Oryzias latipes: one gene and its partners. The protein of the gene in region 1 purifies or fractionates together with the protein of each later gene. This does not show direct contact. Links are inferred from orthologs where the notes say so. Each region holds a gene or a part of one and is shown on either strand. Other genes may lie near its edges. The genes, in order: ribonuclease P protein subunit p21, rpp40 and rpp30.

What was found.
Region 2: the proteins of ribonuclease P protein subunit p21 (region 1) and rpp40 purify together in Homo sapiens (co-immunoprecipitation; 3 studies listed by BioGRID and IntAct, counting the BioPlex papers as one, with this or other methods). This does not show direct contact. The link is inferred for Oryzias latipes from reciprocal best matches to the Homo sapiens genes RPP21 and RPP40.
Region 3: the proteins of ribonuclease P protein subunit p21 (region 1) and rpp30 purify together in Homo sapiens (co-immunoprecipitation; 3 studies listed by BioGRID and IntAct, counting the BioPlex papers as one, with this or other methods). This does not show direct contact. The link is inferred for Oryzias latipes from reciprocal best matches to the Homo sapiens genes RPP21 and RPP30.

The regions. Positions count from the first base shown.
Region 1 is NC_019862.2:3,261,228-3,270,913, forward strand, and holds ribonuclease P protein subunit p21, read left to right. Parts: upstream 1-3,645; 5' UTR 3,646-3,953; coding exon 3,954-4,010; intron 4,011-4,082; coding exon 4,083-4,183; intron 4,184-4,789; coding exon 4,790-4,872; intron 4,873-4,947; coding exon 4,948-5,082; intron 5,083-6,885; coding exon 6,886-6,983; 3' UTR 6,984-7,208; downstream 7,209-9,686. Other genes in the region: pak2 (serine/threonine-protein kinase PAK 2), read left to right, coding at 1,335-1,447, 1,539-1,656, 1,764-1,863, 1,961-2,157, 2,287-2,424, 2,511-2,597; aquaporin-12, read right to left, coding at 7,230-7,357, 9,603-9,686. UniProt on the Homo sapiens protein: Component of ribonuclease P, a ribonucleoprotein complex that generates mature tRNA molecules by cleaving their 5'-ends.
Region 2 is NC_019875.2:13,397,876-13,407,643, forward strand, and holds rpp40 (ribonuclease P protein subunit p40), read left to right. Parts: upstream 1-4,640; 5' UTR 4,641-4,758; coding exon 4,759-4,872; intron 4,873-5,267; coding exon 5,268-5,412; intron 5,413-5,496; coding exon 5,497-5,565; intron 5,566-5,664; coding exon 5,665-5,760; intron 5,761-6,771; coding exon 6,772-6,894; intron 6,895-7,019; coding exon 7,020-7,185; intron 7,186-7,255; coding exon 7,256-7,390; intron 7,391-7,457; coding exon 7,458-7,650; 3' UTR 7,651-9,189; downstream 9,190-9,768. Other genes in the region: riok1 (serine/threonine-protein kinase RIO1), read right to left, coding at 2,928-3,018, 3,187-3,373, 4,401-4,453. UniProt on the Homo sapiens protein: Component of ribonuclease P, a ribonucleoprotein complex that generates mature tRNA molecules by cleaving their 5'-ends. Also a component of the MRP ribonuclease complex, which cleaves pre-rRNA sequences.
Region 3 is NC_019877.2:1,034,184-1,043,931, forward strand, and holds rpp30 (ribonuclease P protein subunit p30), read left to right. Parts: upstream 1-4,215; 5' UTR 4,216-4,480; coding exon 4,481-4,562; intron 4,563-4,816; coding exon of another isoform or gene 4,817-4,826; exon of another isoform or gene 4,827-4,857; coding exon 4,858-4,916; exon of another isoform or gene 4,917-4,926; intron 4,927-4,980; coding exon 4,981-5,115; intron 5,116-5,202; coding exon 5,203-5,274; intron 5,275-5,387; coding exon 5,388-5,477; intron 5,478-5,586; coding exon 5,587-5,703; intron 5,704-5,772; coding exon 5,773-5,802; intron 5,803-5,955; coding exon 5,956-6,172; intron 6,173-6,302; coding exon 6,303-6,377; intron 6,378-6,446; coding exon 6,447-6,484; 3' UTR 6,485-6,629; downstream 6,630-9,748. Other genes in the region: nudt13 (nucleoside diphosphate-linked moiety X motif 13), read right to left, coding at 1-111, 231-337, 419-526, 594-736, 803-938, 4,817-4,826. UniProt on the Homo sapiens protein: Component of ribonuclease P, a ribonucleoprotein complex that generates mature tRNA molecules by cleaving their 5'-ends. Also a component of the MRP ribonuclease complex, which cleaves pre-rRNA sequences.

The DNA of each region.
Region 1 (9,686 bases):
ACCAAACTGGATGAGCGATAACTCAAAAAACTGGATGACCATTTTATGTAGAATGTTGAGCTGATTCATAGTTCCAAGACGAAAACCGGACTGTTGTTCCTGGATCGGAAGTTTGGCTGAACTCATCTCTCCAGGACTCTGAAATGGATTCTTCGATAGTTGGAATACACTCTCCCGTCTCCCTTTTTGAAATGAGGAACCACCACCCCAGTCTGCCAGTCCAGTGGTACAGTTTCCAACTGCCACACAATGCTGCAGAGACGTGTCCACCAAAACAGTCCACCAGCATCCAGAGACTTGAGCCCTCCAGGGTGGACTTCATCCAGCCATGGCGCCTTGCTGCTGAGGAGCTTCTCAACTACCTCAGTGACTTCAGAAGAACGCCGGGTACTCCAAACTGTTCTTTGGCCCTCAGGCCAAAACCCACAGAGAGTTATCCCCTTCTAGAAGGCGAAAAGATTCGACTCTCTCGTACAGTGGCTTTGTGGTAGAGTGTCCGCCCTGATACTGGAAGGTCGTTAGTTCAAATCCGAATGACACCAAAGACTTTAAAAGTGGGACCCAGTGTCCTGCTTGACACTTACCATAAAGATTGGGGGGTTAAACCACCAAATGGGTCCTGATCGGTACACAGTCCCGAGTCCCAAGTTTCACCTCCCCCAGGGGGGGAATCAAATGCAGAGAACAAATACAGCACCTAGGTGTGAGACAATAACTTTGGTGGCTGAGCTGAGGGCTCATGAGAAAACTTCTTCCTATGTTTACACAGTACCTCTTGAAACATTTGAAGCTTCTTCACTTCCAGAGTGGGGACGTTTCATGTCCCAAAGGCCAGACTTAATGGTTGTCCCACTGAGGCACCCGCCGTCAAGCCTGGCCAAACCACATTGCACCGGCTCTGCTGCAGGAGATGGGAGATGGCAGGGCCGCCAGGAGGGATCCCGCATAATCACTTCAGGCCAGGCCTAACCGGGGCCCCCTGGCTAGGCTGCTATTCCCAAACCCAGGCCTGGCTCTGTGGTGGGACTGTTGTGACGCCAATAAAGGGGCTTTAAACTGCTCTTTGTCCGGCTGGTCACCTAGGACTTGTCTGCCTTAGGAGATCCTATCAGGGCCTTTATCCATAAGCTTCTTCCCCCCTGGGATTACTCGAGCTCTCAAACCCCTCCGCCATGGTCCATGGAGGAGGGAACGTAAAATGTAATTCTGTTTGAAATGATCCAGTTTGTGTTACTTGATGGGATTGCAGAATTCAAGACATTTTGCACTTTTGACAGAAAACGATCAAATGTACTATTTCTGAATATTTAAGAACTGGCATTTTCCATTTTCAGGTCGCGATTAAACAAATCAATCTACAAAAGCAGCCGAAGAAGGAGCTCATTATCAATGAGATCCTAGTGATGAAGGAGTTGAAGAACCCCAACATCGTCAACTTCTTAGACAGGTGAGGGACCTTCAGTCTGCAGGGCAACGGCTTTCTTTGGGAGAATTTTCATGCGTTGAGGTGAACGGTATTCATTTGTCATTTGGATCAGTTTCCTGATGGGGGATGAGCTGTTTGTCGTCATGGAATATCTTGCTGGTGGCTCCCTGACAGACGTCGTCACCGAGACTTGCATGGATGAAGCCCAGATAGCTGCTGTTTGTCGAGAGGTGCGTTTCCTTCTTTCATATCATAGTATGGAGCTCATTGTGCTTCCACTTTAAGTGGAGAATGGAACAGAATCACTCCTACATGCCCTCTGCCTTCTCTCTTTTAGTGTTTACAAGCTTTGGAATTCCTGCACGCAAATCAAGTGATTCACAGAGACATCAAAAGTGACAACGTCTTGCTGGGAATGGATGGATCCGTGAAGCTTAGTAAGACGTTTGCCCCAAATTAGAAGCAACCAACTGCAACAATGACTACATCCAACCACCGTAACTCCACATTTTTCTGTCTGTGTTTCTCCAACAGCTGATTTTGGCTTCTGTGCCCAGATCACTCCAGAACAGAGCAAACGCAGCACCATGGTTGGCACACCTTACTGGATGGCTCCTGAAGTAGTGACCAGAAAGGCTTATGGGCCTAAAGTAGATATTTGGTCACTTGGTATTATGGCGATCGAGATGGTTGAAGGCGAGCCTCCATACCTGAATGAAAACCCACTGCGAGTGAGTTCAGTGTTGCTTTGCATGTTGCCTAAAGTCAATAAAAGGATCTTAAAAAAATAACCGCTAAGCTTAGTGTGACTCTATGCAAAGCTGTGTGTCACGCTTCTCTGATGTCCTTGTGTTTGGCAGGCTTTATACCTGATTGCTACAAATGGAACCCCTGAGCTTCAGAATCCAGAGAAGCTCTCTCCAGTTTTTCGAGATTTCTTGAACCGCTGCCTGGAAATGGATGTAGAGAAAAGAGGAGGCGGCAAAGAGCTTCTGCAGGTTCAGCTTCCACCCATCGCCTGTTTTTCTTTTCAACTTACGGTTTTGGGTTTGGTCTAATCCGCTTGTTGAATTTTGTTCTTCAGCATCCGTTCCTGAAGCTGGCGAAGCCCCTCTCCAGTCTGACTCCTCTCATCCTGGCAGCCAAGGAGGCCATGAAAGGCAGCCGTTAGCTGGGAAGGCCCGCTGCGCCGGCCTCCGGCTGCGCAGACGCGTGCCAACCGTTTCAGTTTTTGTGCCAGACAATAGACTGAGTGGCTCGCCTCTCTGTGACGCATCAGCCTTATAAGCCCCGACAAACCTCACTGTGAAGAAGACCAAAAATCAAGAGCACGACTGTTCACTCGAACTCTGATTCAGACTGAAGTGCACCTTCTCAGTCGGGCGTAGTGGACTTTGTGCATCAAGGTCGGGCTAGGTTTGTATTTAACGTGGAAGGAAGAAGATGCCTAGTTCTGTTTAGTTTTTTAATCAGCTGCCTTAAACAAATGCAAAACGTTTCCTAATGTATTGTTGATTGTGTCACGTCTCCCTTCCTGTGATTTTTACTACATTTGTAATTTACCTTCTCAGCTTGTCAGTGTCTTAGTTCTTTTGATACTTGAATTTCATTTTAGTTTCCCCATTTGGTCTGTGAAGTGTTTCATTTACAGAGCACTTGTCATTTCTTGACTGCTCCATGTTTTGTGGGCGTTTGTCTTTCAATGCATCGTGCGTGCTGATGGTGTTCTCTGACCGGTCCACTGTACCAGTTCAAGCCCCGAATAGTTTGACTCCTCATCCCAAGGGCGCACCTTACTGGCCGTTAAAACTTTAGATTGACAGGGTTTGTACTCTTTTTGCTATTCTTATTAAAAAAGGAGTATTTTATGTCTGTCATTTTTTCCATCCACGTTTAGGGCTGTTAAACCAGTCTTTAAAGGCCCAGCGTCCTGCTTTTTTCCCCTGTTCCTGCTCTTGCTGTCTTCAATGGAACATACCTGGTCTAGGTAATCATAGGTAATTGGCAGTAGAGAGGACAGAAACATCACACACAAAAATCCCAAAGAAGGATGTGTCCCTAAAGCAGGGATGGTCAACTCCAGGGGGCCGCATTCCTGCGTGTTCTCCAACATACCCGGCTCTGGCATGTTCTAATTGGCTGCACACCTGAACCTGGTAAGCAGTCATGAATCAGGACTTGGATATCTGGAAGTTGCCAGTCCCTGGGGCTGGGCTCCCACACTTTTCTTGTCCAAACGCAAAATGCCAAAGCAATTAGTTTGTTAGTGACTATAATGAGTAAGCTGTAAAGGACATTTTTTTCTTTTATTCCTTACAGCTTTTTACTGTTTTTGCGCTTTAATAAATATAACTTGTTGCCTTTAAGATCTGGGCGACAAATATAGTTTTCATTAATATTCTATAGACAGGGGGCTTTTATTTTGAAGGATCTCCCCGGATGTGCGTCATATTAGCTCACATGCTAACTTAGTCGTAAGTCTCCCCCTGTACAGACTGTCCGGGGTTTTGTTTTGAGTCTGTAAGTGATGGCTCTTCAGTTAAAAGACAAAGAAGCGCACCAGCGACTTAACTACCTTTACCAGGTACGGAGCTGACCGGAGCCATCAGCCACGTTGCTAATATTAGACCTGAACGGTGTGACTCTGTCTTCACAGGCTGCTCATTGTGTTTTAGCGCAAAACCCAAAGAATGTGGAGCTGGCTCGCTTCTACTGCTTCACACAGAAGACGATTGCTCGACGTTTGGTTCTCAGGCAGTGAGTAGTTTGAATCTCTGCATTTTGAACGGTTCAGGGTTTTATTGTGGAGACTAGTTTGCGTCACTTCCTGTAGAGTTCAAACGTCATTTTCCCCATTGATTCATTATCTCTGCTTTGTGATCACGTGAGCTTTAACAAACTTTTTGCATATTTGGTTTGTTGTATTCAGTTTGTATTTTTTTGTAAGCGAAATATATTTTTTTTAATTAGAGATTCTAAACAAATACTTCTTGTAAAACTAGAAATCAAAAATGTCTGAGGCTGGTTAAAGTTAAATGAAACATTATCACCACCTATGACAACTCCTGAAGTGAAACCCAGACCCGACCCGTCAGTCAAGCAGATAAGAACAAGTCCTAGAATCAGAAAAGTGCTTCCAGGAGACATTTAAAGATGGTTTTGTGTGTCTGCTGCAGCCTCATGGACCCGCCTGCTTAAAGGTGTGGTGATCACATGACCTATTGTCACCATTTCGTTCTTTTTCTAAATGCATATATAAAGTTGGGTGGATTCAACACAGACGTTCGTCTAACACTGTGAGGCTGAGCTCAGTCCTGCTGGGTCAGAATGGACTGAATGGACCAGCGCTGTGTTTGATTGCAGAGACCCGTCTGTGAAGAGGACGTTATGCAAAGGCTGCTGCACGCTGCTCATCCCAGGAGTCACTGCTACAACAAGACAACGCAGTCAGTATCTCACAGAGATCCTCAGCGATGGGGGTGGTTTTCCCTTTTTTTAATCATTTGTTGTTGTTTCTAAAGGAAAGAAGAGAAAGACCAGCTTCACTGTGGTCAGGTGTCTCAGCTGTGGTCAGACCAAGACTTTTCAGAATAACCCGGATTACCGTCTATGGGTGGAGCGTCCAGAGGCGCAGTTGGAGCTGCAGGAGCAGCTGGGTGGGTGTGAACGGCACTGACCTGTCTGTAAACCTGGAGCAGTCATCGTTGGTGACGACCACTGACCAGGGGGGTATTCCAGGAAGCATGTTTAAACTACCCTGACTTTAATCCTGAACTCTGGCTGAAATCCGCCTGAACTTGCTTACTCTGGGTATGTCGGTTCCAAAAGACCGGATATGAGTTGGCGTAATTACGCTCGACTTGGTAACCCTGGGTTAATGCACGGTACATAAAGACATTCTCAATAGATCGCCGATTTCTGGAGTCACCATGGAAACGCGTGGAGAAAAAAAAAGAGCGCGACACTTGAGACGGAAGTGAGACGGAGTCTGAGATTTAAATGACGGCGGTTAAAAATTATAAGTCCATCAAAAAAGTAACACGGCTGAAAAATAATTTAAATAATTTAGTTTAATTTTTTCAAACTCAATAATTGTTTACACAACTCAAATGTACGTATTTATCTAACTAAATGTCACATTACTTCATTAATCTTTTTTCCATCTTAATTACTTATATTTCTTGAACTTTCATATGTCTAAGTTTGAGCCGGCAGATATGCTCATTTTTACAACAATAAAAAGAACGGAAAAAAATGCACCGAGTGCAAAAACTCACTAAAGAATTTTCCGTCACTGTCATAACAGCACTAAGCGGTAGGGGTGCTATATAAAGTCATCATCCTATCCTTTACTCTCACTCATGGTGCAGAGACGTAAGCATAGTAGGACAAAATAGCTCGGCCAAACACGGTGAAACACAGTAAAACAGCTATACAACTAAATACATTTAGTAAAAAACCCACACTTAGACCCAAATCCGTCCAGACAGGCAAAGGGAATGATATCCCAGAATCCCTTGCGGTGCCGATCTAACAGCAGCATCAAAGTTACACCTACTTAATTGAATTAATTTGAACGAAAGGAAAATAACTGTCTGAAAACTACGTGTAATTTTTAACAAAAAAAATTCTAACAAAAAAATGATTTATCTTAACTGAAGCAAATAATTACGTTAGATCAAAGTAAAAAAGTTTATCTTTCCAACATCCATATGTGGTCTCATCATCCTCTCTTGGTGGAAAAAGTATTATCTGAGCTTTTTCATCCACTAAATCATCTTCAAATGGACACGCCATGCTGCTTCACCTCTCTGTAAACAAACTAACCTTCAACTAAACCTGCTCCAGACCAGGTTATGTTCAGAGCATGAGTTGCCATGGTAACTTGACCTACCCTGAAACATACCTCCATTTCTGGAACCGAAAGCTGAGGTTATCAACTTTCTTAGCCTCAAACTTATCGTGGGATAGCATAACCTGGGATAGCATAACCTGCTTTCTGGAATACCCCCCAGGGATTGCCGTCTCTGTCTTTGCCTTAAAGCGCGGAGACTTCAGTTTGGGTTTTCTTGCTTGCGTAAACGGGAGTTGTCATGAAACTGAAGCGTCGTGTTTTTCTGCAGCCTCTGCTGCTTCCTTTCCTTTTCCTAACGCCTGCCTCCACATCCGTCTCACTCTCCCTTCGCAGGCTGCTCCAGAACTTAAAACAGGACTAAGAATTAATCATTTCCTAAACATAAAGTTCGCTTTAATTACACTAGGGTTTGTACAAGCACACCCCTGTTTGCTGATGGAGTACTCAACAGAAGTCCAATCATAAAAATACTGTCTAAGACGTCAGGCTCTCAGCTTCTGTTTGCTCAGCTGCTGCACAGGGAAACGGGGACGAACATTCGCCTCCTTCACCGCGTGAACATTTGTTTTCCGGTGGCTGAAGCAGTTCTCGGTCTCTCCCACAGATCCAGGCACGTCTGCGAAAAACCAGCCCAACATCCCAAAACCCCGCACGCCGCAGTCGTCCAAGCCCGCTTCTGGTCAGTGTTCAGGCAGCACGTAACAGCCGGACGCCACCTTTCTCCAGTGCTCCTTCATTCTAGGTGTCTGTTTCGTCTTTGACTCCACATTAAGTTTCACTCATTATTTGATAAACACGCTGGAGATGTTTCTTAAATATGGTGTTATTTAAAATCAGAGACAAGAATGGATCCTTTGACCAGTTTTCTCATTTATTTCTCTCTTTTTTTTTTTTTTTTTTAAACGCGTCTAAAATAAATGCATTGGAACCATTGACTGTGTCCATCATTCACATTTTTTTCTTCCCCGCTTTGTCTCCTTTGGGCACTCTGAAGCGTGTCTTCTGGGAATACAGGAGGTTTTTGGCAAAGATCCTGGGAATGTGGCCCATGTAGAAGAGAAGAGCCAGAGTCATGCCTGCGAAAGAAACGTGACCCTTTAGACAAACGACAACAGCCGTGAACATGCAGCGTTCTGGGTTGTCTTAGTAAGAAGTGGACTAAATAAAAACCTTACCGTCAGTCCCACGTTCTAAATGTCATTACAAAAACAACCCACTCATCTGTTATCACCTGTTACCTGTTATGAGCCCATTTTGAAGCTGTTTTTAACAAGACAGTGAATTCTGACTTGATCTGATTGTTTCTCAGTGTTCCAGATTAAAGTATTCGGTGCACAGAAATGGAAATGCACTCGAGGCTGCTGTGCCTGAAGCAGTGAAGCAGTTCCCAAAAAGCTCCTGGAGCGGAAAGTTACTCCAACATCAAATGTTTGTTTGAAGGCAAATTTCAGTTAGACGCAAAGCTAACTGCAGGCTGACATTAGCGGGACTGACATCTATCAACAGAAGGAGACTGAATCAAAAAGATGTAAAAAAAAAAAAAAATCTTTATTGGCCACTTTATTAGTCCCACCTGTCCAAATTACTCATTATTTCTAATCAGCCAATCACATGGCAGCAACTTAATGCATTTAGTCATGTAGACATCTGTTGTCAAGACGATCTGCTGCAGTTCAAATCGAGCATCAGAATGAGAAAGAAAGGTGATTGAAGTGTCTTTGAATGCGGCATGGTTGTTGGTGCCAGACAGGCTGGTCTGAGGATTTAATTAACTGATCTACAGGGATTTTCACCCACAACTATCTCTAGGGTTTACAGAGAATGGCCCGAAAAATAGAAAATATCCAGTGAGCAGCAGATCTGTGGGTGGAAATGCCTTGTTGAGGTCAGAGGAGAATGTACAGACTGGTTCCAGCTGATAAAAGGACAACAGGAACTCAAAGAACCACTGGTTCCAACTGAGGTCTGCAGACTCACCAAAACTGGACAATAGAAGATGGAAAAACATTGTCTGGTCTGATGAATCTCTATTTCTGCTGCCACATATGGATGGTAGGGTCAGAACAACATGAAAACATGGATCCATCCTGCCTTGTATCAACGGTTCAGGCTGGTGGTGGTGGTGTCATGGTGTGGGGGATATTTTTTGGCAGACTTTTGGCCCCTTAGAACCAACTGAGCATGGTTATAACATTACAGCCTACCTGAGTATTGTTGCTGACCATCTCCATCCCTTTCTGACCACAGTGGACCATCTTCTGATGCTACTTCCAGCAGCATAAGGCGCCATGTCATAAAGCTGGAATCATCTCAGCCAGTTTTCCTGAACATGACAATGAGATCACTGGACTCAAATGGCCTCACCAGATCACCAGATCTCAACCCAATGGAGAACCTTTGGGATGTGGTGGAACGGGAGATCGGCATCATGGATGTTCAGCCGACAAATCTGCAGCAACCGTGTGATGCTGTCATGTCAATATGGACCAAACTCTCTGAGGAATGTTTCTTGTTGAATCTATGCCACCAAGGATTAAGGCAGTTCTGAAGGAAAAAGGGGGTCCAACTTGGTGCTAAAGTGGCTGGTGAGCGTATATCTATGGTTGCTGTTGCACTGGATCTAAAGGCAAACCACCGGAACACACAATAGGGACGTAATGGTGAAGACAGGGTTGTTGGGATTTGTTTTAGAGTAATGGTCACCTTCAAGAATTCTGGAGTCAAATGGAAGAGATTTTCTACCACCTCAAAGTGAGATAAGTCACCAGATAAATGACCTGCAGAACACCAGTAAATCCACAGCAGAATAGCTGAAACAATCAAGGACTAAATACATCCTAAAGCCTTTAAACAATGTAAGTGGAATACTGTCAAAGCTTCAGCAAAGAGAGCAGCAAGATTTTCATCAGTCTTGACTGAAAACTGCATCAGCATAGAGACCTGTAAGCCACTTTTACCGAAGACGCAACTTTTTTATCACTGTCTATTGGTACAGTATCAGCATGAAAGTGACAGAAGGTCATTTATTTAGACAATATTAAGACTCAGTTTCCTAATGCAACCTTAAAATTTTATTCTCACTTAACTTTGCTCGTAACCCTTGTGCTATCCTAGGCACTTTACCATTGGGAGTTGGGTCATCTAGACCCACTAGACAGTGCTCTGAACCTTTTTTCTTCAATGATTTGTGATCTTCACTGGTGTCCATGGATTACATGAAATCTTTCCACCTTTATCCACCTTTGTCATGGTAGGGAGAACACGTCAATGTAAGGGTGGGGTCATCTAAGATAACACAAGGGTTAATTCAAAGTAGTTTACCTGTCAAAGAGCTCAGCCAGTAGACCACTGCATACTCCGTAAAGGTGAATCCAGGACAGTGGAAGGTGAGTCCGTACGCCAAAG
Region 2 (9,768 bases), on another chromosome or scaffold:
CAGGAGAACAAATTACTCAGAAACAGCACCATAAATCCATCATCATCTACAAAAGCACATGAAAACGCTGACATGTGTTCGTTACCTTCAAAACACTATGATCTGAGCATGCTCAGTTTAGAGGATCTAGATCAGGGGTGACAACGATCGCGATCGACCGTTCGATCTTCAAGGACAAGAGGGTAGATCGCAGGCCAGCAAAGGCAAATAACCAAAAAAAATAAATATATATTTCTAAAAAATCCGTCAGCGAATCAAAATCGTTACCAAGAAGTACGTGACTTGATTGACATGCAAAACGGCCAATCAAGCATCCTTTGATCCATACGTCACTGCACCTATCCAACATCCAATCACAAAGTTCTTTTTCAATAAAAAACAGGGAAGTGAGCTATCCAGCCGTATAGTTTTGAGCCTGATGCCAGCTCAAACAAGGAAAAACAAAGACGTACATGGATCTTGTGGGCTACAAGTGAAAGCATCAATATGGAAAGAAGCAGGGAGACAATAGCATCTCTGTCACGGCTACAGACTTTTACCTACAGCATTTTTCCATCTGCTCTTGATTCACAACAATTTAAATTAAGAAACTCAATTTTGAGCCTAAATTTCTTTGCATATGTCCTCTATTGTTAGAAAAACGCCACAAGAACATGTTAAAAACACCAAAAACAAGTTTTTATTGGAGTGGGTCTTTAAAGCACTTATTGATGTTCAAAATAGTCCATGCCTGCCAAAATAAAAGTGTGGCTGATTCATTACTTTTTATTTTTAAGTTACCAGGCTTTTTTATTTTTGAACTATCTGGCCTAAATAGCCTTCCAAAGAAGGTGAACTGCCAAAAAGCACTTCTAGGTTTTCAATACTTGACTGGGGCCAAGAGGTATCATCTTAACCCTTGTGCTATCTCAGATGACCCCACCCTTACATTGACGTGTTCTCCCTACCATGACAAAGGAGGATAAAGGTGGAAAGATTTCATGGAATCCATGGACACCAGTGAAGATCACAAATCATTGAAGAAAAAAGGTTCAGAGCACTGTCTAGTGGGTCTAGATGACCCAACTCCCAATGTTAAAGTGCCTAGGATAGCACAAGGGTTACATGAGGAATCTTGTCGTCAGAAGCAAAAATCAAAGTCTCTGTCTTTAACAGTTGTTTCTAAACCCTTTTATTTTCTAGACAAAAAAAATTAACAGACCGGTTAATTTACTGATGTCTGTCTCATTAAAAGTGTAATAAAGAGAATGTCATCTACATAAATATGATTAGAGACCTGAATAAAACAAACCAATAAGCTGCTCAAGTGGCATCATGTAGAAAATAAATAAAAGAGCACCTGAAGCCCCTGAGGCAAACCCCAAGTCAATTCTCTCCGTTCTGACACTTTGTAGTGCTAAAGTTCTGTCTGTTAAATATGAGATGAAACCATTTACGGGGTGAATCTAAAAACAGAATAGAAATGCTCAGTCAAAACCTGATATTTGACCGTATCAAAAGCAGCTGTTAGTCTGCAGACATGAGCATTAGACCTTTTTAAAAGAGCAGCCTCTGAGTGGTTACAAAGTAGACCTTGAATACGGAAAAAATATGAACAGACCAAAAACTGGAAAGAATTGGAATATTAGATCTTCAAGAACAGAAGACATTCCAGAACAACAACAGACGTCGTAGAGCAGAACACCCTCTAAAACACTAGACATTCTAGAACAAAAGATATCTTAGAACCAAAACCTTCCAGAGCAGAAGACTGACTAAAACAGTTATTATCAAGAGCAGAAAATCAAACTAGAATCCACTCGAAAACAAAATCCATAATAGAACAGCAGACTTCATAAAATGGAAGATAAAAAAAAAAGAATTTCCAAGAACAGAATGTCTCCCAAAACAAAAGACCTTCTAGGAACGGAAGACAAAGTAAAATCGAGGATCTCCTGAAACAGCAAAACGACTAGAACAGTAGACCATCAAGAATGGAAGACCTCAAAGAACAGAAGAACCAAAAAAGCTCTAGAACAGAAAACCCATTAGTCCAGAAGACAATCTTAGAACATAGGTCTTTTAGAACAAAGACCTTCAGACTATGCGACCAAAACAAAAATCTTTGCAGAACAAAATGTTTTCTGGAATTAAGACTTTCTGGAAAAGAAGATAGTAGAATAATATCTATCATTGCCTTGTTTTTTAACCTATTTATGTGTTTCAATAAAAATGCTAATGTAAACAAAAACATCAACAAAAACAGTGGTAGGTTAACTTTCTTGTATGAAATTGTGTTTGCCTCTAAAAATAAACTCCATCTTCTCTCATGTAGAGGAAATCAGGGCGGGGCTAATACTTTTTCACACATCCATAGGAGATTATTCAGAACTATCAGCCATCTTCTTACTGGAGATTGTTTGACCTCACAGAGGGGCAGACACTTTTTAAGGTCACACCATGTCGGACAGGAAAACCAGAACTAGGGCTGCACGATATGAGGAAAACTTGCGATATGCGATATTAGAGATTAATATTGCGATAACGATATAATTTGCGGTATATAAAAAAATAGAAAAATGCCAAAAACACCATTCCCATTTGATTAGAAACAGTTTAAAATTACACTCCAAATGACCCTCATTGACATAGGTGACAAACATCTAACATAATAGGCCTCCATCTGATTGGTAAACAATGGGAAGGCGTCCATCTGATTGGTCAAAGCATAAAGGGATTTATTTGATTCGTTAAATGCTTCAAGCTGCTAGAAGATTGTTTTAACACATTTTGGGTTTACGATTTATTGCGATATTCGCAGTCTTTTGCGATATGCCTATTGCAGAGCTGGATATTGCGATAACGATAAATTTGCGGTATATTGTGCAGGCCTAACCAGAACCCTCCACAGCTGTGGTCTATGCATGTGAGTGTGCACGTGTGTGTACCCAGGTTGATTTTGTGTTCGTATTTCCTCAAAGCTTTGTCAGACGGGGTCGAGGACGAGATCATCTTATTCGACGGGTTCTGTCTGTTTGCCTGAGAACAGTGACAGAGAAACAAAAGGGCAGTGGGATCAGACTCATTATCACTGATAAATAATTCTGAACCGTGACCGTGATGTGACTTCTTTAACTGAAAAGGAACCAATATACCCTAACTGACATTTAACATGGCAACTAAATTTTAATGTATCTGGATCAGAACCTGGCAGTTGAGGCCGCTCCGGTTTAATCTGCTGGTCAGATTGGCAGCAGAATGGTACGCCCAATCCTCTTCATCATCCTCATCATCATAATCATCATCCACTTCGTCCTCCTCCTCATCACTGTCGACCCTCTGCGCAGCGACATCATTGATGAGGCTTGGTAGCAACGAAGGCTCTGATTGGTCTCTGCAGGAAACAGAAAAAGACAGACTGAGAAAGAACCAACAGGGAGGAAGAGTCCAGACCCTCAGCCAATTACAGGGAAGATATGTTCAGGTGGTGTTTGCACCTGAAAATATGTAGCCACAAGGCTACATGAGTAACACTCGAGCAGATCACTTTTGTGGACAAAAACATGTATTTGTGTAGGTAAAATTTGTGCACGTCGCTCTAATCTTGTGATTAGGATTGAAGGCAAAATAATACCAATTATGGTCAAAAAACACATTAAAATCTCTTCAGTTCCTCTATCGTTGGTCCCAAACATGGCTCCCTACTTGTGACAACATTTTCTAATGCTTACACGGCATTAAAAATCTTAAACTGCCACAAATGGATGTTGTTTTGTCAGTGGGTATGAGGCTTTGATGGTTAGAAAAGTCCAAAAAATAACATCTGAACTCAAATAGGCATAACTGTGAGGAGATACAGCCCAGAAACCTGGAGAAGACCCTCTGGAGAGAAGGTACTTGCCCCATTTGGTTACCATGGTAACAGAGAAGGCATCATCTGTCCTCCTGCACCATAAAAATCAAAGTCTTTGCAAGACCCAAACCACAGGAGGAGACAATTGTTCATGAAACACTGAGGATTTTGGATCTTCTGAAAGCTTTGGCAGTCATTTCTTATGGGATCACAGAACCAGGCCGTAACAGGTGAACCTGACAGAAGACACTGTTCTGCTCATGGGGTCGGTTCTTTCTTTTTGGCAGGATGATTTAGGTTCTGACCCGGATTAGACACTCACTGAGGAGCTGGTTTTGGCCTTTCCAGGTGCTGACTAAACTAAACAAGCCAGTCAAAATGATTCATCAGAAATGTTAGTACATGGATAATCGACTACTGGACCACTCAGAACTAGCGTTTGGGCTTGGACCCATACGACCTTTTTTCTGACATGGGGACTAGATTTTTTCCTGACGACACAGACAGAGCGACAAAGAGAACCAAACCAAACCAAACCAAACCAAACCAAACCAAACCAAACCTTTACCTGTCTACCTCAGCGTCATCAAACTGTCCAGGAACGCACGTGACCTCCTCCATGAACCCACAGCCCACGCAAAGTAATCCCGCTGTATTTGGTTGATAAGAAGCCCACCTTCACCGGGCCGCCTTGTTCGGGTGGTATAGAAGTCAACAGCGTGCTGCTCCTTCAACTTCCGGCTCTGATCACGTGACTACGGCGAACAAGAGGGGCCAACCCATTGCGGCTGCGCAGTGCTGCGTTCTGACCAAACCTCCATGTGTTTCAGTTCGCTTCCGGGTTTCTTGCCTTGCCTCCTGCATGCTTTAAAGTGAGAACATTTCCCGAGGCCCCGTGTCTGAGATCGTGCAGGAACTGCATCAGGATGCAGGACCTGAGCCGATGTCCTCGGAACCTGCTGGTCTGTGAGCGGTCCAGCTTCCAGAACGAGAAAAACAGGGTCAGCGCACAGGTGGAGCAAATGCATTTTAACTACAAGGTGAAAATTAAAATATTCAAGTCCGCATGTGAATTAGTTTAAGGAAGCAGAATGATGCATCCTCTTGACAAACTGTTTTTGAAGGCAACATTGAGAGATATATTCCCGTGTTTCTGAAGGCAGCACCGAGGGACATGATACTACTCCTGTCCCTGAAGGCAGCAAAGACTGATGATCTTAAGTAGTGCTTTTAAAAGCAGCATGGAGTGATGTTAAGTTCTTGAAGGCAGCATCAAAGTATATTCTTCTATGTTTAATATTGAATCATAGAGACTGCTGATTGGCCGTTCCGTCTTTTATTTTGGCAGGTCTTTGCGAAATTCAGGAAAATTTAGTTAAAAATTGTGACCTGTCACTGAAACAGCCACGATCTACTGCTTCCTATGCCTGTGCAGGTGTCTCTGCTACTGCCTGATTGTAGCTCCGCCCCCTCCCATCTGGATGAAACATTGAAGTCATTCAACAGTTTTTACCTGATTAAGAAGCTGCCCATCTACAAGCTGCTGAATGAGAACTTCCTGCGGAGTGCCATCTACAACGGTAACAAAACGCCCGTCTTCACTAAACCTAGCTGAGACCTGCTCTCATCTGGTCACATGACTCACCTGTTCCTATGTGCTGCAGGCAGCGTGTATGGTTTATCCCACCAGACTCGCATCGACGAGGATAACTGTGTCTCCCTAATGCCCAACGGTAAAAAGCATCACTTCCTGTTTGTTGTGTGGATCTCCATGGTCAAATGACCCTTTTCATCTGTTCTTGGATCACATGATCTTGTCTGTCTGTCCTCAGGTATCTTGACCCTGTCCCTGGACAAAGACTCTTTTGAGCTGCTGGGCTTCGAGGGGAAACCATCAAGGTTTAACCACAGGCGTTGCAGCAGATTTGGTTTGTTATGCACAACTTAACAATTTCTAAAGCGTTAGTTCACAACGAAGGTGGTGTCAAAGCACTGAGGGGTTTGCTGTGTAATCCCTGTACTGAGCAAACAAAAGCGGACAGTGGAGAAGGAGAAATTGGTGGAAAACGAGGAAGAAACCCGTTGCAGAACTAGATTCCATAAAACCAATCATCTGCTGTGACTGATTGGAGTCTGAAACTACTGGCACACTGGTCTTATGATGCACATTCTTGAATGCACGTTTAGCGCATGGCATTCACACGAGAGAAGCTGGGAGGGGCCTCTTCTTATTTTTCTTGTTCTATTTACTTCGCCACCTACAGTTGGAAGAGGCTTGGTGTGAAATCCCTAAGCGGTGCAAATCTCACGTAGCTATCCAGGCTTTTTCTTTCCCAGCTCTATTCCGACATATGAAAGACTTGGTGTCATATAATTCCGATCGGGCACAAACCACAATTATTAATTTCGCCTCCATGATTAATTTATAGCTGTTAGACAGGACAAGTTAAAAAAGCTTGCCCTGTCCTCTCCGTCACGCAGCAGACCGGCTTTTCCAAACCCGTTGGTGATGGTAGATTTTTTTCACACTGCTTTTAACTTGAAAGCTGCGTCATATGCATTTATTCTTGCATTTTCAATGATGAGGGTCTGTTCGTGCTATTCATTCACAAAGCAGGAATTTACATAAAACTTGTGTCTTCCTCGACACATTTACCGTATTCCCCCTGTCTCACTCTAACCCTCTCTGCTCGAGCGCCCCCTAGTGGCTGTTCGAAAAAAATGCCTTAAAAAAAGAAGGAAAAAAATGCATAAATTAGCCGCATCATTGAATAAGCCGCAGGGTTGAAAGCGTGTGATAAAGGTAGCGGTTTATAATCTGGAAATTATGGTACATAGAGACGCATGTTATGTAAGAACAGAAGAAACCAGCAACAAAATGAGGATCTGACAGAAATGAGTGAGCAGATCCTTTTTCTGTGCACCTGTATGAACTTCAGTGGTAACTGTGAACCTAACGGACAGCTGCATGGCTCCTGGAAGGCGGAATTACCTCAGACTTCTTGAGGGTCTGAAGTCACGCCTTCCGCTACAAACGGACTTCCTGTTGTCACATCATCCAGGTGAGTGACTCCATATTCCAGTTCAGTTCAATTTAATTTGTATAGCCCAAATTCACAACAACAGTCGTCTCAATGGGCTTCATATAGACATATGAGACCAAGCTGTGTCTTTCTCTGTCTTGCAGGGGGTGGGGCTTCTTTGCATCCCCTTTTGTCTTGCTGTGATTGGTCAGAGCACCAACCTGAGGTCAAATTCCGCAGCCTGACCAACGTGTCCTTTCCTGTCCCCGAGTCATGTGACCCTCACAGCTTCCTGCAGTGGTTGGGTGCGGTGGAGTCCGGCGTCAGCGGGTATGGCGTTCTTTCGTCGTTAGCTCATCACACAACGTGGTTGCATGATGCGTGCATTTCTGGGTTTCAGTGAGAACTCGTCCAACAGCTTCCTGTCCTCACTGATCTGTCCGGAACCGAAAACTCAGACCAACTGCGCTCTGAGCGCGTGTGTGAGCGGCATGCTGCTACCGCAAGACATCCAGCGCCTCATTGGTCAGCTCAGGTCAGCTGATGGTACACATTCAAAGCATGTGGGAGTGGGCTTGGTGTGTGACTCGCCTGTCTCGCAGGAGTCACCTGGAGCAGGTCCAGTCCTGGGCGGTGCTGACAGTTCACGGTTTCGCGGACAGCCCCGTGTCCTGGGGAGGGAGAGAGCATGGATTTCTTCGAGGAGGAGAGAACTTTTACAGCCTGCTGATGTCCCACGACCACACCTACCACCTTCACTTGGCTGCCGGCGCACACGATGCCTGCCCACCGTGATGCCACTAACCCATCAGAACCAAGAGAATTGACTGAGCTCAGACAGTGCTGGAGGCCTGACCTGTGGCTTATTCAACCTGTTAGAACTTCACCAGATCAGAACCAGTGTGCAATTAATTTAGTCTTGAAATTCTTTAGTTTGTTCCGGACTAGCAGTTCTGGTTCAACCCATGACTTACTTATCAGCAATACATTGGGAACAGAAGCAGAACCCCTGTTAGAACTAGTGCTTTTCAGTGAGAGCAAGGGGATCTAACCCGGGTCAACACACCTTTTGTGGATAGTTGAGCTGCAGCAGAACCACAGAGGCTGAGAGAATGATGTGTGGAAGATCTGCGCCTGGCATGCCTTGGTAAGCAATCAGGTGGTTTTCTCGACTTTAAAACGTTATGTGTCTGCCTTATTTGTCTGAGGGCGTGTAGGGTCAAATCCACTCTGCTCTCCAGGTAGCTTTTTCGTTTTATACATGTAAAATGGGTGGGCAAATGGTATATAATTTTTTTTCAGCAATGGTAACTAGTTTCATTTATTTTGAACCCTGGAACTGAGTCATTTTCTGACTGCACTTTTGGATGCAGTGCCATTTCCTGCCATGGGGTGGTGCCGCCGAGACGCCATTTTCTTTGAATAAATGTCATCATCGTCTTCACTGAATTCCATTTCCCAGTTACCATGTTGAATTTTGTTTCTCCGACAGGGATGTGCGAAGGGTTTGGGAGCGTCAGGTGAGTTCTTTGTGGACTCAGGTTCAGGTGCCGTTCAGGTTGGCTGCAGACAGAAGCTGGCTTTGCTGATGATTTGGGTTTGAAAGAGCGGGCCGCTGCATTTGAAACAGGTTTTGACTTAATGCTTAATTTCTTTAAAGTGGTTCAAACACTGAGATCGATGGACCTTTTGAGTTGGTTTGCTTAGTCTTTCACGTCTCTTCTTCTCAGACGTGTTGAAATGTTTTCTGTGTTGTTGAACCTCTTTTTTTTCTTGGATTTTGGCTTGATGACATCATTCATTTGATTACATCACAAAGAGGAGTAATGTATTTATTTTATGACGTCATACTCTGTGATGCCATCAGAGAGGTAATCTATTCAGACCATAAATTGTATTTATAAAAAAAAAAAAACTTGGTTAGCAACTTTTAATCTAAGGCATTTTTCCTTTTTAAAGCATAATAAGAATTGCAACGTTTTGTTTTTTCCTTAATGACCACAAGGAGTTGGATGCAAATGCGAGTCAATCTCTTTTTACTGACATGTTTAAAGACCCAAACCAATGAAGATGGTGTTTTTGGCAGGGGTCTTGGTGTGTGGGTGACCAGGCACTCCTCATCTTTTATATCCCATCATGCACCACAGTAGAACACCAACACTCACCTGAGCACAGGTGCTAGCTCACCTTTGCACAAATACTTTGTTTGCATGCTTAAGAATGTACATGTGTGAGCTGCAGTTGTATTGTGTATGTGTTCACGTGTTAACATGCTGACTTTGTGACTTATCATCTGCACCTCACAGAACTGTTGATAAACCTCCAGCAACTTGTTGCTTTTTGTTTCTATTCACTCCCGGTGTTGGGAGTAACGGCGTTTAGGTATAACTGTGTTACTAATGGCGTTAAAATTTAAGTAACGGGGTAATAGAACTAATTACACTATAATACCAAAAGCATTCACTCACCTGCCTTGCCTCACATATGAACTAAAGTACCATCCCATCCCTAACCCATAGAGTTCAATATGATGTTGGCCCACCTTTTGCAGCTTTTACAGCTTCAACTCTTCTGGGAAGGCTGTTCACAAGGTTGAGGGGTGTGTTTATAGGATTTTTTTTTGGAGGAAAATGGTATAGGATATGAGGGATTGCACCGCTGGGGTCAATCAACACACCAGCAGTCTAACGTCTAATTCTTACTTACTTCAACTGGGACCTGCGAAAACTGCTGGAACTGCAGTTAGTAAAGCACGAACACAAAAACCCCCTTTAACCCTTGTGCTATCTTAGATGACCCCACCCTTACATTGACGTGTTCTCCCTACCATGACAAAGGTGGATAAAGGTGAAGAGGATTTCATGTAATCCATGGACACCAGTGAGGTTCACAAATCATTGAAGAAAAAAGGTT
Region 3 (9,748 bases), on another chromosome or scaffold:
TATGGAGCTGCTGCTGCAGACCCTCTGGCTGCCGGCCCGGTTCCGGTGAGTGGGCTGGCCCGTGGCGCTGCAGAACCCGTTGGTCTGATGCCAGCGCAGCAGAGCTTGAGCCTGCAAGAGAGACCGACATCAGAACCAGGAAATGGACCAGAAACAACAGAGTTCGTGTTTTTTTAGCATCCTGGACTGGGAGAGGAACCAGAACCGCATGTTGGGTTCCAGCTGCTGACCTTGGCCACCAGCTGGGCCGCAGGTCCCGGTAGAAGAAAGAAGGATTTCCTCAGGTCTATGAAGGTCCCCGCACAGAATTCTGCTACTGCCGCCTGGTCCAGATGTCCTAAATGAAGACCAGAACCACAGAACCTGTATGTCATGGTTGAGGGAAGGAAACACTGGTGATTCTGTCAGGCGATCTTACCAACATCCAGGCAGAACTGAGCCTGGTTCTGTTCACTGCAGCCAATCAGAATAGAGTCTTCTAGCAGAGGTCCATCAGAACCAAAGTTCTGGAGGAGTGATTGAACTCCTGAAACAGGGACACAGCAGTCTTAGCTTTCAGTATTAGGTTCTCGTTCCTCCTGAGGTTCTGGTACCTGAGCAGGTGAGGGTGACGGGTCTGAAGGTTCCGGTGGGTCCGCGCTGCAGCAGAGGCTGAAGGCGGTGGAACAGAACCAGCTGACCGTCCTGCAGCGCCGCCGCACACGCCTCGTCCTCCTGCTTCAGCCGGTTCAGGAATCTGGACCCAGTTTGTACATCAATCACATCAATCGGGTCACTCGATCAATCAGTTTGGGTTCCTGACCTCATCCTGGACACAAAGCTGGAGCTGAAGCGGGTCAGACCCAGAACCTGAGGTCTGGCACTGAGGATCCCCCTCAGAGGGTTTAGGAGGAGCATCGTTCTGGGTCCACTAGTCAGAACTGGCCTGGTTCTGTTGCCTGCAGACAGGAAACAGGTCAAAGGTTCTGCTGGGGTCCGAACCTATTCTAACAGACCGGTTCCTATCCACATGGACTCCCGGTAGACTCGGGAAACAGATGTATGATATGATATTCCAAACATATAGCCGAACCGGAACAGACCTGACCCGTTCTGTGCTTTGGGGCAAAGTTCTAAAGTTTGACAACACCGAGTCACGTGTTTCACGCGATGTTCTTTTAAGTCAGCGGGAAGATTTCAACGGACCGGTAAAACCGAACCTTGGGATTCAGTATCAGAATAGAACCGTGGTTCGGCTCGGTTCGTGTCTTTTCGTACCTGCAGGTTGCTGAACGTCTTCCTCGGCGGTGCCTCACAGAGCGAGATTGACGCGCGCACCGCCCCCTGCTGGCGGGAAAGGGGAACGTTCCGCTCCGGACCGGAAACTGATCTGAGATCAGAGTTTTTATTATATATTTTATTTTTTATTGAAGACACAAACTTGAGGTTTACAATCTTTGTGGCAGTTGTCCAAGGTGTTTGTCAAATTATAATTAGATATAGCATAGAAAAATGTAAACAATTACAAAATTAGGTAAAAGAATATGGTTTGGTTTAAAGGAATCGACATTTGTGTATATAAAATGTACCCAGGATAGTTATAACATTTAAAACGATTTCTGTGTTTTTGTTTTCTAAAATAAACCCAAAAATGATTTATGGAAAAGTCTGATAGACATGGAATCTTGGGGAAAAGCCAATAACGTATATCATCGTATCAACGTATATCCTAAAAGGCTTTAGAGTAAAAACATTAAAAGAAAAGATGCTCAGTTGTTTTAATATCCTCATTACAAAAAGAACAATTTTCAGGAATTCCGTTTTCTGAGCAATTCTTTGTAAGGGTTTAGACCTGAAAAGGGTTTGAAAAGTGGACTTTAGGTTGAGATCAGAGCGACACGTGAAAAGAAGATAAATAAAAACATGTAAAACTGGGTGTGAATGCACAAAGTAGACCAGCAAAAACACACAAAAAAGGTTATTTCATGTGTTTATTTATAAGTTTCAAGGATTAAAGGGGTTATTGTCATTGTACAGTTAGGAAACAGGTTTTCCTGAGATGCTCACTTTGCTTTTCGCTCTGAATACCACAAGGTTAAAAGGTTAAACAAAAAGATAGTGTACGATATTTAAAACTCATCATTTGCGGAAAAAAGATGATAAAGGAGAACAATGACAATAATCAGTGAGAAACAAACCAGATAATACCTGAGCATTAACTGAATTAACAGTAGGGCTGCACGGCATAAGCAAAACTTGCGATATTGGTGATTAATATTGCGATAACGATTGAATTTACGGTATATAAACAAATAGCAAAACTACCAAAAAACATCATTTCCATTTTATTGCAACAGTTTAAGAATTAAACTCCCAATGACATCAAATCCTTAAAGTTTTACAATTTTAATAGATTCTTGGTAATTAAAATAAAACAACAGTTTTGACTGACAGCTTCATTCATGCAGATGGTGAAAATTGTTCATTCCAGTCAAAACTTCAAACCTCCTTAACTTAACATCCATCTGAAATTCAACGCTGACATCATGTATGACCCTGAAAGAGTCCAGACATCATCGTGGATTTCTGTAGCATATTTACACCAACATTCACAGTGCAGCAAACCTTCTGTTTGATTGATGGGGGACCATCCTGATGATAAATGATTCATCTGTTGATTTGACACTAAGACAAATATATTGATTACAAAGCAAAGGTTTCTGAGGCACAACTAGGACTCCTTAAAGGAATAAAAAAAAAAAAACATAACTTGAACTTATCCAGTGATGAAAGTCAGGCAAGGAAAAAATCCCTGAACTTTTCTTTGAGCGATATGGCGGGCACAGAGCGAAATTTTGGAAAAATACGTGGTCTTAGATGCATTCTGGTGCATTCTGGCAGCTAGTTATTCACTTCTTTATCAAAAAACTAAGACTAATTGGAGCATCATGATTTGTCATTCAAACCCCTAGTTTGACTCTCCATTAAGGACTTGCTGGTCCTAAAAAAGAATTTGGAAAATTGCTCAAAGTAACACAATCCTACAATCTACGCTTTTCCTTAAAGCTGCAAAACATACAATTGCTAAAATATAGTAACATCAAAGCCCCAAATGGCAAAAAGAACACCAGTAACTATGATATTCTATGAAAATACCTCAGTTATTTATACATTATTTCTGCTTTAGAAATGACTGATGTACAACATCCACTTGCACTGTTTTCTCAAACTATAATTACATCAAAATATGGGATCTGCTTTAAACTATAATTCTATAACATAATACATCAATTCTTTAACACCAATACTAAGTAATCTGGGAAATATCAAAACAAACATACAAACTAAACAAAACATTGTAAACATTATTTTTTAAGGGAGTGCGGGTCCAAACCATCAAATACTTATAATTAATGTCAACTATACTGAACTAAATCATGGTAATTAGGAAATACAAATAAATTAGATAAAGAAATGTATTCAAAATAAAAACTGAAACTCAAAACTAAAATTGAAATTATTTCAAAATGTGGTTTTGAGATTATTTTACACAAAAAAGTATTTGACCTACACTACCTTAAAAATCTTTTTTTTTTTTCCATCCAAGACCACTTCAATTTGTTTTTTATCGTCTTCTCACAACTGAGGTCGTGACCACGCTCAATAATGACGATGCCTGCCATTATTTTAACACAAATTTGATCGCAAACTCTACAGATGTGTTTGTGAAAGTTTAGCGTGGGTCCGCCAGTTTTGGTCTCTAGGGAAGCAAGTCACGCTGACCACGTGGTGCAGACAGAGCCAATCAGACCCGTCGACGCATCCGAAAGCAACTAAAACGTCCCGTCATTGGTCAATTAGGCCGGGAAGACGAGAGATGGCCACGACCATAGAGGAAACGATCTGCGGAGAAATATAGAAAATAAAGCTAAAATTAGCTGATTTCAGACCATTTTTTAATCCGGAAAGCGATTTGTCCGTAGAGATCAGGTCTTTATTTCCCGGAAAGTACGTTCGGTTTGCTCAAAAACCCGGATTTCCGGGAATTCCCGGAAGACTTTCATCACTGCTTATCAAACAGAAAAAGACTGGACACTAGTCCTGGATTTATCTCTCAGTAAAATAAATGGTTTCACGTCAACCAATTGCTGTGTAACCCCCCCCCCCCCCCCAAATAAATAAACAAATAAATAAATAAAAAAAGGAGCATGCATAAGACTGACATGCCAATAGATGTGTAAATAAAGATGAGATCAACAAAGAAACAAATTAACCAACTATAAATAAGTGGATAAAATAAAAATGAATGGGGATTTCAAAAACTGACATATTGTCAATAATTAATTTTTTCAAAGATAATTTTAGGTTAAGTAATTCAGAAATCCAGATGAAGAATAAAAAACTGGGCTGGTCTCCCACCATCGCGAGAACCCAGTGACGCCCCTGCGCAAACGAGACTTCAACTCCCATCGGCCTTTGGGGTTTCCGCACGTGCAGCGTCATGGCGGTTTTCATGGACCTAAATCTGATGTTTTCGGCGGACCGGACTCGAATCAGCAAACTGCTGGAGACGGCGGCTCACCGTAAGTTACCCCCCGAACTTCCCGGTTCTGTGGTTCGGCAGCTTCGCCTGTTTTAGCAGAAATACCCGGATGTTTTAAAGATAGCTGGCGATTCGAATCGTTTATTCCCCCGCGCGCTGCTTCCCATTAAACCTCCGCGTGAAAAGTCCTTATGGAGAAGAACCCGGTTCGGACGTGACCAGAACTTCCTCCTGTTCGACAACCTCTGCTGCTGACGTTCCTCGGGGTTCTGCTAGGACGCTCGTGTGGCTCACCTGTGCGCATGCGCTCTAAAGCCTTCTTCTTGTCTTTGCAGTGGGTTTCTCCACCGTCGCCATCAACTACATGTTCGAACCGACAGCCAAGCAGAAGCAGGTCAGTCCACCCGGAACCACAAACTCCCACCTTGACGTCATGGCTTTTACTTTGAAAGTCTCAGCTTCCTCTGCAGGAAATTCCTGTCCCTAAACCAATCAATGAGCTGATTGATCAGCTGCCCGTCGTGCAGGGGCGCTCCCGCCCCATCAGAGTATTGAACAGGCTGACCGTGGTGGTGTCCGACCCCAGTCACTATGTAAGAGTCTGTGCTGAAGTATTGATCGGAATCAATCAGCTGATCGATCCAAACCTTCTGTGTGTGTGTGTGTGTGAACGTGTTCAGAGGCCCAACGCTCCAGAGTATCGCCGCTTTGACCTCCTGGCGGTGCAGCCCACCTCGGAGAAGCTGTTCCATGTGAGCTTCACTGATGTGTTCAGTGTCTTCAGGAGATTCTAGTTGTGGTTTGTGTTAGACATCAGTCATTTGTTTGTGTGTGTGTGTGTGTGTGTGTGTGTGTGTGCGTGCAGGCGGCCTGCATGCTGTACGACATCGACATCATCTGCATCTCCGTCACCGAGAAGCTTCCTTTTTTCTTCAAGAGAGCGCCGATCAATGGGGTGACCTCTCCGCCGCCAGGCCTTCTCGTTGTCGCCGTTGTGCGACTGCATGTGTGCGTTTTTCTGCATGTGTGCGTTTTTCTGCATGTGTGCGCGTTGCTGTGTCCAGGCCATCGACCGCGGAGTCATGTTCGAGGTGTCGTACTCTGCGGCCATCAGAGACTCCACCATGAGGCGCTACACCATCGCCAACGCCGCCAGTCTGACGGACAGCTGTAAAGGGAAGGTGGGTTCTTTGCCCCGCCCACTCTGAGGTGACATCATCACTCACCTGACACATCTGTTGGTCTTTCAGAACGTGATCCTGTCCAGCGCGGCAGAGAAGGTCAGTGTTCTGAACTTGCCCACACCATCACACTGCCACCCCCGTGTTTCACAGTGAAAGCTGTTTTTACTCCACCTGTTGAACCTCAATGGCAGACCTGAGTTTTGGTCCTCTCAGGCTCCCGTAGTTTTTAAAAATCCTTTGTGTTTTCAGGCTTTGGAGCTGCGAGGACCGTATGACATCACCAACCTGTATCCTTTGATCATCACGAGTGGGTGGGGCCCCGTCACAGCAGCCGCCCCCCCACAACAGCAGTGTCTGTTTGTTGTGTTCCTGATGTGCGTCTTCAGAGGTTTGCTGTTCGGTTTGTCAGATGGAGACGCAAAAGAGGCCGTCTCCTCCACCTGCAGGGCGGCGCTGCTGCACGCAGGTGAGGACGGACGCCATCCCAGGCTCTTCCTCTTCCTCCTGTTTAGGGACAGAGGAAGCAGAGACTTTCAGTCCACGACTTGTGGACGGATCCTGGATGTTAATTCCAACCCGTGTGTGTTTGTGGTCAGAAACTCGGAAGACGGCCAGCGGGATCGTGTACACGGCGAGGAGCCAGCAGGAGGCGCCGTCGGATCCTCCGGAGGGTCAGTTCTGGTGCAGAAGTGAGCTCAGCATCCGAGTATCTGATAAGAATGTAACGTCTACCTGTGCAGGTGACACTCCTGCCGCCAAGAGGGTCAAGACCACCTGATTGACAGCTAGGGAGGCGGGGCCAGCTCCGATTTCTGTGACTTCATTATCATGAGTTTTTCTTTTTTAAATCAAGTATTTAAAAAAAATTTTTTTGGACAACTTTTGTATTTTTTTGGAAAAATAAAATTGATTTAAGAACCTCCCCCCCCCCCCTTAAAAAAAGGAGTCTTATTTCAAAATCAAAGCGTATCAAAGCTTTTATTCTGAAATCTACATTACAAACGCTGTTAGTCTTGGAGCTTGACGATAATGAAATAAAGTTTAGGAGGTCGTTCCTTCACATTCAGATTGGACATACAAATATAGATATCTTTATAAAAATAGAAATGTACGAACAGGAAGACTAGTGAACATTTCTGGATTCATATTTCATTAATCGTACAAAGATGTAATTAAATTAAACATTTTTTAAAGTTAATTCAAGTCACTAAACAGAATTTTTCCCTTAAACACCACAGAGGGAGGAGTTATCCTGAGACCAGACTGAGGGGAGAAACACCCTCCCTGGTGAAATAGCCCTTTACTGTTAGAGGTCAAAGGTCATAGCAGTTTCTTTGGACTGGATGGATTAAACCAATCAGACGAGGAGGGCGTGGCTTAAACTTACTGAAGCAAAAAACCTCTAATAGCCTCAAACATCAGAGTGTTGCAGAACAAAATCAAAAGTAAACACAAGTGGGGTGGACGTCCCGACCCGCTGGAGTTACTGCGAGTCGATGGAGGAAGACGATGATGGCCTGAAGCTCTGGCAGCAGCTGCTGAAGAAAAACCCTCAGGTGGAGTTTAAGAGTAGTTTGATGGTTGAAGGTTCAGACGAGTCCTCCAGAGACTGCAGGAAGTTCTCCTCCTCACTTCAGAGACCCATGATGTGGTTGATATGACCCTAAAAGCACAAGAACCAAGCAGTTGACTCCATCTCCCAGAATTCATTTCACTAATAAAAAAGCCAAACTTAGAGGTGCTAAAGCTGATGAAGAAATTACCGGCTCTCCTCCGAGACATCGGGCGCAGCAGATGGTAGGAGGTCTGAGATGAACGGCACGAACCTGCGCACACGTCAAGGGACCTCGTTTCTATGGCAACAGCAGCATCACATGAAGCTGAGGCTTCTGATCTGAACGTGGAACCTCAGGGAGGTTCTGATGGGAGTCAACGGGCTTTTTTTGTTTTGTTTACGTCCATCTGGCCAGAATGTTGACTTTAATGAACAACATCTGCAGCTTCAAGCACTGACCTGCTCCTGCTGACTGGTCACCGTGGCAACGCAGGACGTCTCCATGGGACACTCCGCCAGCTGCAGAGCCGCCTCCATGCACAGTCGCTTCTGGATGCAAACATCATCAGTGTGTTCAAACTTCTGCTTCATTTATAGAAACATCTGCAGGAACTGACCCAGACCCGAGTGAAGCGGTTTTGAAGCTAAGTTAGAATCACAGACAAACTCCGTGACAGCCAGCTGATTGATCACCTGATCATAATAACGACCCCACCCCCTCTACTTTCCAAATGACAACCACCAACGTGAACTTCTGGAGCCGTGAGATCTTCAAACTGAAGATTTACTTTTCCTTTATCTGGAACCTCAGAAGCATCAGAACATCCGGGCCCAGAGTGGACTTGGATGGGTTCTTAGAACCGTATAAATCTGGTCCAAACATCGTTCTGACAACAGAAGCAGGAGATAAAGGTAAATAAACGGTTGGGCACTTCAGCGGGCAGCCCAGTCAGGGTCTTCAGTCCCACTATGGAACCAGGAAGTGGATGTTAAACAAATCAGCTAGCTAACTAAGGTTTAATCAGCGGAAGGACAACTGACTGATTATTATTACCTGATCAATCAGGACTGAAGTCCACAAACGTATTTTTCTCTCACCTGCACTGGTTTACAACTCCAAAGCTCCGCCCCCTCCTCCAGGAACCGCCTCTTCAGCAGGTTAGCGCCTTCCATGCTAACATGTAGCTTACTGGCAGGAAAACTTTCGCGTTCGCGCAGTGACCGGAAGCTGGCTGTGTTTACTGCCGGTATACAAACAAATCCCCGTGAAACCGGGCGGGTCACCGGTTAGCCACTCGCCAGGCGACTGTGGGCTCCCTGCAGCTCTGGGTCACGGAACCCTCCGTCCTTCCGTCGACCTGCAGACTTTAGTTTACAGCGGGACACATCCGGTCCAAACACGTTCTGGCCCTTCACAATAAAAGCACAGATGAAACGGTCACATTGTCAAAGTCGGTTTAGTCTTTGAAATTATTGTTCAAAAAACAATGAAATAAATTTCATAAGATCCCACAAATGTATCTATCCATATATTGACCTCTCGTTCTACCGTTCAATCGTGTTCAGTTCATGTTTAATGAAAAAAAACTGAAAACAATATTAATTAATACATTATAATTTCTGGAGAGACCGACCAACAAAACATAGAGTTTAAGTTTTGCTTTTTTGTTGGAAAATTTTTTAATATCTCTAAACAGCCACATTTAGGTGTAAATTTTTGCTTTTAATTTGAATATTTTAATCTGGACCGGAAGTCATACTTCCCCCTAACTTCTTTATTTTGACCTTTTCCGCCATTCCCTTTTTCCACTCTTTTTCAAATACAGTGACGTAACAGCAGAAAAAAACCAATCAGAGGAAGGTCAAACTTTTAACGTCACCGTTAATAAGGGATCAGAGTTTTAATGTTCAATTTTTTAAAAAAAGATGTAAAAAAATTAACACATTTTAAGATATAATATCAATGATATTTGTGAAGTTTACCAACATAACAAAGAAACACTTTTCCACCTTTTTTTCCTCCTTGTGTTAAAACCAAACAGCTCTGGTCAGACATGGAAACATTTGTAAATTCTCTTAATATATATATTTTTGTATGTATTGAGTTATAAAGTTTATTTGAGACCATCATAAAAAACAATCAATGCTTAATAATTAGCAGAATATGTAAATCAAAGGGTTTTTGCTGCTGCATTCTGAGCCACCAGGGGGCAGCAGAGCACAGGAGCTGATCCTCAGAAAATCACAATATTTATGGACAACAGATCAATGATAACAAAAAGACTTATTAAACACTTTGAACTGATCATGATTTTTAGGTTTGAAAAAAAAAGAGAATTTCAAAACACAGAAAATTATAATTTAAACATTATATTTTTGTAATATTGTACCCCTGGACTATGAAATACACATTTCAAAAGCCAAAAGACAAGAAAGGTTTTCCTTCTTTTGTTCTTTTGTAAATCTAAATAAATGTGAACATACAAT